Arabidopsis thaliana: one gene and its partner. The protein of the gene in region 1 interacts with the protein of each later gene in a pairwise test. Each region holds a gene or a part of one and is shown on either strand. Other genes may lie near its edges. The genes, in order: PYL7 and AT1G72340.

Region 1 (3,921 bases):
TAAAGGAGTGTCCGATTTGCAAGTCGACGATAGAGAAGACTGATGGGTGTAACCATCTGCAGTGCCGGTGTGGAAAGCACATTTGTTGGACCTGCTTAGACGTCTTCACTCAGGCAGAACCTTGTTATGCCCATTTAAGGACAATTCATGGTGGAATCGGATTAGTCGAGTTAGGTGTCCCAGAGCACCCTGTTGCCCAGCCTGTTCACAGGCTTTGAAACCGGACTGGACCCATGTATCTATATCCTGTAACATCTGGTTTGCTTAATGTGTACATATATGTGAACATAGTGTAGTTCGGTATAGTACCTTCTTTAACCAATTGAATGAACCGATCATATTCTAATCCGGATGCCAAATAAACTAAAGATTGTTGTAAATGAAAGACTTGGGACTTGACTCGCTACATCACTGATTACGCGTAAATGTCTACAGAGAGTTTACTAAGTTGAAAGAAAACTACTTCCTAACATACAGAGACATCGCCATTAATGGCCTTAACTTAAGAGTCAAAAAAACATTTGATGGGCCTACCCTTAATTAAAAGCCCAATTCGATATTCGAATCGAACCCACCGGCCTAACTAAACTGTTCAGTGTCCCCAAATCTTTTTGCAACTTCTTTCTTCTTCATATTCTTCTCACCGTGAAGGCGTCGTCACCGCCGATGTTATTATCTCCGGCGATGTTTTCTGATCATCACTGCTTTACTCTTACTGCGAGGTTGGTTATTTTCAAATCTTCTTCTCTCCGTTCTTTCTTTCGAAGTCAGAAACTTTGCCGCCATTTTCAGTAAAAGGGTTGATTCTACATTCCCTAGAATCATCTAATAACTAGGGTTTTCATTAGGTTACGTATTGGTTAAAATTAGTTGAAATCATGTTTCTTATTTCTCTTTTCGAACTAAATTTGGTAATCAGATCTCTAGAGTGTATGATTTGTCATAACATCTAATCGAAATTAGAATCCGTATATGTTTCATTCAGAGAATAAATCCTGACTTGTTAATTTGATATAGAATGTCAGATTCTGATGAAGCTAAAACGTCGGAGGAAGAATCTCAACTTGCTGAGCAAGAAACAGAGACTCAAGAAGGTGAAATGACTAAAAACTTAAAGAAAAGAGATCTTGATGCAGTAGAAGATGAAGATTCGAATAACGAAAGCTCCAGATTAGAGAAACTAGAGAAGAAGATAAAAAAAGAAACAGCGAGGAAGCTTGAAACTGACTTTGTGCTAACAGGGGAAGAGGATGATGATGCATTGCCCTTAGCCTGTTCCATTTGCCAAAACCCATTCTTGGATCCTGTTGTCACCAACTGCAACCATTACTTCTGCGACAAGTGTGCTCTAAAGGTAATCTTTTCCTTACAACAAGTTTCGTAATTTCTGAAAACACACTCAAAACAGATTTTCCTTGTTATTTTTTTTCATAATGCAGCATCACACTGAGAACGATACTTGTTTTGTGTGTAACGAGCCAACTCTAGGGCTTTTCGACACAGCCGTGGAGATCAAGGAAAGAATAGAGGAAGAACGTGAGAAAGCCAGAGGTTTGTTAAAAACGCAAAACTCTCTGTTTTGACACCAAAAACCTACTCTTACAAAACTCGCTCGGTGATGTCTCTTTGTAGCCATGGTAAAGGAAGTGACAGCAATGTTAGAAAAGGCATCGACAATGGCGGATGACGCCAAGGGCGTAGCGCAAAAGGTTGTAAAAATGGTGGAGGAGATTGAAACAATGGTGGAAAAAGTGGCGGCTATGGCCACAAAGGCGGGAGAAACGGCGACAATGGCGGCAGATATGGTGAAAGAAGCTGAGGAGACGATGGAAACAGCTAAAGCTAATATGTCCAAAGCCTTTGTGGTAATGAAGTCGGTGAATTGGAACGTGTAAATCGGGTCAAAACAGAGTTTTATTGTGATCTCATGCTGACATCAGCTACAATCTTTATCTAATAAGATAGATTCTCACAAGATTCTTTTATCTATCTACTTTTTAGAGAAGATGAGATCATACTTCGGAGATAGATAGGTGTCGTAAAAATTGGGAAGCTTACTTGGCAGGAGAAGAGAGATATACACACGTGCTTAAAGTCAACAGCTAATCCAAAAAGGTAGACGACAAACCAGTTAAACTAAGACACGTAATCTATCTTAAAGATTTGTCGGTTCATCGTAAATCCGTTGGTGGATTAATATATGTCGGTGTCTTCGTTGATTTTCTTAGCCTAACCAACCAAACATAAATAAAAATCGAAGCTTTACTTTGTTTGCTTCTATTATATCCACTTCCAACAAGATTCCTCAAAAGGAAAGAAGAGAAAGAAGATAAGAGATATCTGGTTGGTCGGAGATGGAGATGATCGGAGGAGACGATACAGATACAGAGATGTACGGAGCTCTAGTGACGGCACAGTCCTTAAGGTTGCGTCATCTTCACCACTGCAGAGAGAACCAGTGTACCTCTGTTCTCGTCAAATACATTCAAGCTCCTGTTCATCTTGTACGCTCTTCTATTCTCTCATCCTCTGTTTTTCTTTCTCTGTTTTCTTTATGTACTTTGTTGAAGTTAATTCTGTCTGATTCACCGGGAAAATGAAATTTCGCCGGATTTAGGGTTCCCGATCTTTCTATTTTTGTTTGCAAATTCTCGTTTTTTTTTTAGTTTACTTGTTGGTCTCTCTTAGTCTTAAAGCTAAGGATAGTGAATATACATATATGATTCAGGTTTGGTCACTGGTGCGGAGATTTGATCAGCCGCAGAAATACAAACCATTTATAAGCAGATGCACTGTAAATGGTGATCCTGAGATCGGTTGTCTCAGAGAAGTAAATGTCAAATCTGGTCTTCCAGCAACCACCAGTACAGAGAGATTGGAACAGCTTGATGATGAAGAACACATCCTCGGTATCAACATCATTGGTGGTGATCATAGACTTAAGGTGACTAAATCCAAATCTCATAGTATTCAGAAACATTAGCGGTTGCTATAATGGTTATTGTTTTCTGCAGAATTACTCTTCGATCTTGACTGTGCATCCGGAGATGATTGATGGAAGGTCAGGAACTATGGTGATGGAGTCTTTTGTTGTGGATGTTCCTCAAGGCAACACCAAAGATGATACATGTTACTTCGTGGAATCACTCATAAAGTGTAACCTCAAATCCTTGGCTTGTGTCTCTGAAAGATTGGCTGCTCAAGACATTACCAATTCCATCGCAACTTTCTGTAACGCTTCCAATGGATACAGAGAGAAGAATCATACAGAAACCAACCTTTGAAGATTTGGCTAGATTAGTCCCACGAACAAACTCAGTGAAGGAAATTTAGATTCATAGAAGCACGTGTGATCATGCTTCTCTGCTGCTTTACTCAGATCAGCTCCATGGGCCATTTTCGAGCATGCAGTCAAAGTTTTGATGTAATTTGTTTTCTGGTGTTTGTTGGACAGTGTCTGTATTTACGCACCATTGTTAGAAAAAACAGAGCTAGGTAGTATCTATATTATCACCAAGAGTCGTTGCAGGAACATTTTCCGTCTCTGAAATGATGAACCCTTGCCCCTTCTTGTAAAACAATCTCACGGTTTCTCAAAACCGACATGTATTTGGCTACGGTGTGGCTATCAGAACATATATTCGTGTTTTTGACCACTCTTATAGGAGCTAAGCCTTTCTTCTTGATAAGGCCATACGTCATTGCTAACTTCTCTGTATGTCCCATAAGCAGCTTCTCTTTCTCTGAATCACTTATGTCTTGGTGTATACAGCTTGTGTCTGGCACATAACCTGATTTCTTCATCTCAGAGACTAATTTGTACAGCTCAAAGTATATATCTCCTTCATCAGGATGTGTTTTTCCCTCCGCATAGAAGATGTGAACCGTTTGATCTATCTGAATCCAGCTCCACAGATCCTG
Region 2 (3,921 bases), on another chromosome or scaffold:
GAAGAGCAACTGGGGCTTACAGTCATAGCCAGGTTTGTTATTAGAGTCTAGTTAAAAGTCCTAAACCCTTTCTTGAGATGGTTCTTATGTTGCTGAATGTTTCATTTTTTGTTCTGCCTCAGGGTATCAAGGGTTTACGTGATGTAATTGCAGCTGGAATCGAAGCACGTGATGGTTTCCCTGCTGATCCAAATGATATTTTCTTGACTGATGGTGCAAGTCCAGCGGTAACAATCAAAACGAAAACGTTATCTCATAGAGTTAGAGTAAGTTCTTTTAAAGGATTCATGCTAAGTGTTTTTGGTGTTTTTTACTCTATAGGTTCACATGATGATGCAACTTCTCTTGAGCTCAGAGAAAGATGGTATTCTTTCCCCGATTCCTCAGTATCCATTGTACTCGGCTTCAATTGCCCTTCATGGTGGATCTTTGGTATGTTCATATAATCATCATGGAGTAATGTTGTTTTTTGGTACAAGTTTTTGAAATTTGTACTTCTTAGGTTCCGTACTATCTTGATGAAGCAACAGGATGGGGACTGGAAATATCTGACCTTAAGAAGCAACTAGAGGAAGCTAGGTCCAAGGGCATCTCTGTAAGGGCCTTGGTTGTCATAAACCCCGGTAACCCAACTGGGCAGGTACAAACAGATTTTCAAGACTAGCCTAACAAAATGTAACATTCTTCTAATCTTGCGTTCTTATTCTGGTTAGGTTCTTGCGGAAGAAAACCAGCGTGACATTGTTAATTTCTGCAAGCAAGAGGGTTTGGTTCTTTTAGCTGATGAAGTCTACCAAGAAAATGTTTACGTCCCTGACAAAAAGTTCCATTCTTTCAAGAAAGTGGCTCGGTCTTTGGGCTATGGAGAAAAAGATATCTCGTTAGTCTCGTTCCAATCAGTCTCCAAAGGTAAAAGAACAACTTTTACTGTCCAATGCTTGTCATCTAAAAAATGGGGTTTTTGTTTTTAATATTCTTCTGTTGATAGGATATTATGGAGAATGTGGAAAAAGAGGAGGTTACATGGAGGTTACTGGATTCACTTCTGATGTAAGAGAACAGATATACAAAATGGCTTCTGTGAATCTTTGTTCTAACATCTCTGGTCAAATTCTTGCTAGCCTTGTCATGAGCCCACCCAAGGTAACACCCTAGTTCTCTCTAATCGGTTTTCGCTAAGTTCTTGCAACAGATTATGACTAAAAAGTCTAATATTGTATTTGATCAGCCTGGTGATGACTCATATGACTCATACATGGCAGAAAGAGATGGAATTCTCTCATCCATGGCTAAACGTGCAAAGGTTAGTCGAAGATTACAATACCCTCTAACGACATTTTTCAGTCTCTTTGTATATAATGTCACAAGCTTGAAAATGAACTTGCAGACTTTGGAAGACGCTCTCAACAGTTTAGAAGGTGTTACATGTAACAGAGCCGAAGGAGCAATGTATCTCTTCCCGCGAATTAACCTTCCTCAAAAGGCTATCGAAGCTGCTGAGGCTGAAAAAACTGCACCAGATGCGTTCTACTGCAAACGCCTTCTCAATGCTACTGGTGTAGTTGTAGTCCCTGGTTCTGGCTTTGGACAGGTAAAATATAACCAAATCTTCATAACTTTAAATGTCTTACAAAAGGATCGAACTTGAATAATGGGTTTTGGATTCATTGTGGTTTAGGTTCCTGGAACATGGCACTTTAGATGCACAATACTTCCACAAGAAGACAAGATTCCAGCGATAGTGAATCGTCTGACAGAGTTCCACAAGAGCTTCATGGACGAGTTCCGCAACTAAAAGGACCTGACCATGAAGATGAACTTAAAGACCCTTTTGAAGAAAAGTGTGATCAGTTTGAGTTATTAAAAAAAAGAAAACTTGTGTTTTGAATTTGATCAGGCAATTGTGATCAGCTAATTTAATTTTAGAATATTTTGTACTTCCATTCCATGGCATGTCATATGAAGATATGAAAATTAGTAAATTTATTGGGCTTATAAATGGGCCTTATATTATTAATGGGCCTTATATTTATTTTTCATATGATATTTCTGGAGAAAGCGACAGTATATTATCTTCAATTTTTCCATTTTGAAGAATTTTCTCAAGAAAAAAAAAAATCAATGTGGAGAAGATCACCGTCGTTTATTCTCGACGAGCGACGAAGCTCGAATTCACCTCCAATGGCGGATACAACACGAGGTCCTTTTCAAAACCCTGATTCCATCTCCGCTTATTACCAAACTCGCGCGGCGCATCACGGTGTCATTACAAGCGACTGGCTAGCCCAAGCTCAAGCCGCCGTTGGCGGCGTCTCAGGCGATGCCCAGCATGACTTATCCGTAACTGATCTCGGGAACGAGAAGTCGTTTAATGTAATTGAAGAGTTCAATAACTGGAGAAAACAACCGGATCTGGCTGAAGCCGTCGCGGCTATACGAGCTTTGGCTGCTGTTATTCGTGCGAGCGAAGCGAGCACCATGATGGAGCTTGAAATTGAGCTCAAAAAGGCTTCTGATACACTCAAGGTGAGAATTCATTTTTCACTTTCTGTTCATTCTTCGATTTTGTGGGCTTTGTTGATTTAAGAAATGTTCAAATTTTGGCAGTCGTGGGACAAAACGTCGATCTCTTTGACAGCTGGATGCGATTTGTTTATCAGATACGTTACGAGAACGTCTGCTTTGGAATATGAAGATTTCAATTCAGCTAAGTCTCGTCTTCTTGAACGTGCTGAGAAATTTGGGGAAATATCTTGCAAGGTACTTCCTTTTATGGCTTCTGGCTCATATTTAGTAGTTTTTGTACATATATCAATGAAGTAGATCAATTAGTATTTGATAGAAGAGGGTTTATAAAGGTTTGGTTATTGCGCAGGCTCGTAGGATTATCGCAATGCTTAGTCAAGATTTTATATTCGATGGTTGTACCATATTGGTTCATGGACTCTCTAGAGTTGTTCTGGAAATACTTAAGACTGCTGCACAAAACAACAAGCTCTTTCGAGTTCTCTGCACAGGTTCGCTTAAACAACAAGCTTAGATTGGAACTTGAGTTGTATCCGCTTAATGTTTCTTGGTTTCTCTGAGACATTTTTGTTGCATAGTCTTGACCTTATAAACCCTGTCTCTTTATGATTTTGTTGTATTAGTAGCCTCTCGCTAACTTTTTTTGGTGAAAAAATGATAGAGGGGAGGCCGGATGGAACAGGAGTTCTGTTATCGAGTGAGCTATCGAAGCTCGATATCCCAGTGAAACTACTGCTTGATTCAGCTGTGGCGTATAGTATGGACGAGGTAGACATGGTGTTTGTCGGGGCGGATGGAGTTGTAGAAAGTGGCGGTATTATCAACATGATGGGAACATACCAAATCGCACTTGTGGCACACAGCATGAACAAACCGGTCTATGTTGCTGCTGAGAGTTACAAGGTAATTGAAACGGTTTTATAAGATCCCATAGTAAGAGAGTGGTTAATGATACAAAGTTGTGTATTTGCAGTTCGCTAGGCTTTACCCATTAGACCAAAAGGACATGGCACCGGCGTTGAGACCAATCGAATTTGGTGTAAAGATTCCGACAAAGGTGGAAGTAGAGAGGTCAGCTCGAGACTATACTCCGCCTCAGTACCTAACACTCCTCTTCACTGACCTTGGTGTTCTCTCTCCCTCTGTAGTTAGCGATGAGCTTATTCAACTCTATCTCTAATTTCAACTCCTAATTAATAACTAACTATTTATACTACTTTTGCTTCAGAAGTGAAAACTTCCAATTTTGAGCCTTTTAAGATCTTCAAAGTTCATGTTTTTATCTTAAATATTGAGGTAGTTTTTCTGCTTCGTCTTCCGATTTAGATCAGTTTCCGCCAGTTGGCCCAGTTCTCCGGTAACCAGTTTCCGATCCTGGTATCAACACCGTTAACT

The links.
Region 2: the proteins of PYL7 (region 1) and AT1G72340 interact in a two-hybrid assay, tested with the Arabidopsis thaliana proteins (one large-scale study listed by BioGRID).

What each region holds. Positions count from the first base shown.
Region 1 is NC_003075.7:444,826-448,746, forward strand, and holds PYL7 (PYR1-like 7), read left to right. Parts: upstream 1-2,152; 5' UTR 2,153-2,354; coding exon 2,355-2,504; exon of another isoform or gene 2,505-2,728; coding exon 2,729-2,944; intron 2,945-3,014; coding exon 3,015-3,284; 3' UTR 3,285-3,510; downstream 3,511-3,921. Other genes in the region: AT4G01020 (helicase domain-containing protein / IBR domain-containing protein / zinc finger protein-like protein), read left to right, coding at 1-218; AT4G01023 (RING/U-box superfamily protein), read left to right, coding at 667-722, 1,018-1,354, 1,440-1,551, 1,633-1,895; AT4G01030 (pentatricopeptide (PPR) repeat-containing protein), read right to left, coding at 3,511-3,921. UniProt on the Arabidopsis thaliana protein: Receptor for abscisic acid (ABA) required for ABA-mediated responses such as stomatal closure and germination inhibition. Inhibits the activity of group-A protein phosphatases type 2C (PP2Cs) when activated by ABA.
Region 2 is NC_003070.9:27,234,777-27,238,697, forward strand, and holds AT1G72340 (NagB/RpiA/CoA transferase-like superfamily protein), read left to right. Parts: upstream 1-2,020; 5' UTR 2,021-2,040; coding exon 2,041-2,526; intron 2,527-2,607; coding exon 2,608-2,760; intron 2,761-2,875; coding exon 2,876-3,017; intron 3,018-3,187; coding exon 3,188-3,429; coding exon of another isoform or gene 3,430-3,450; exon of another isoform or gene 3,451-3,499; coding exon 3,500-3,706; 3' UTR 3,707-3,836; downstream 3,837-3,921. Other genes in the region: ALAAT2 (alanine aminotransferase 2), read left to right, coding at 1-32, 123-266, 322-432, 503-640, 714-909, 989-1,143, 1,229-1,303, 1,388-1,591 and 1 more.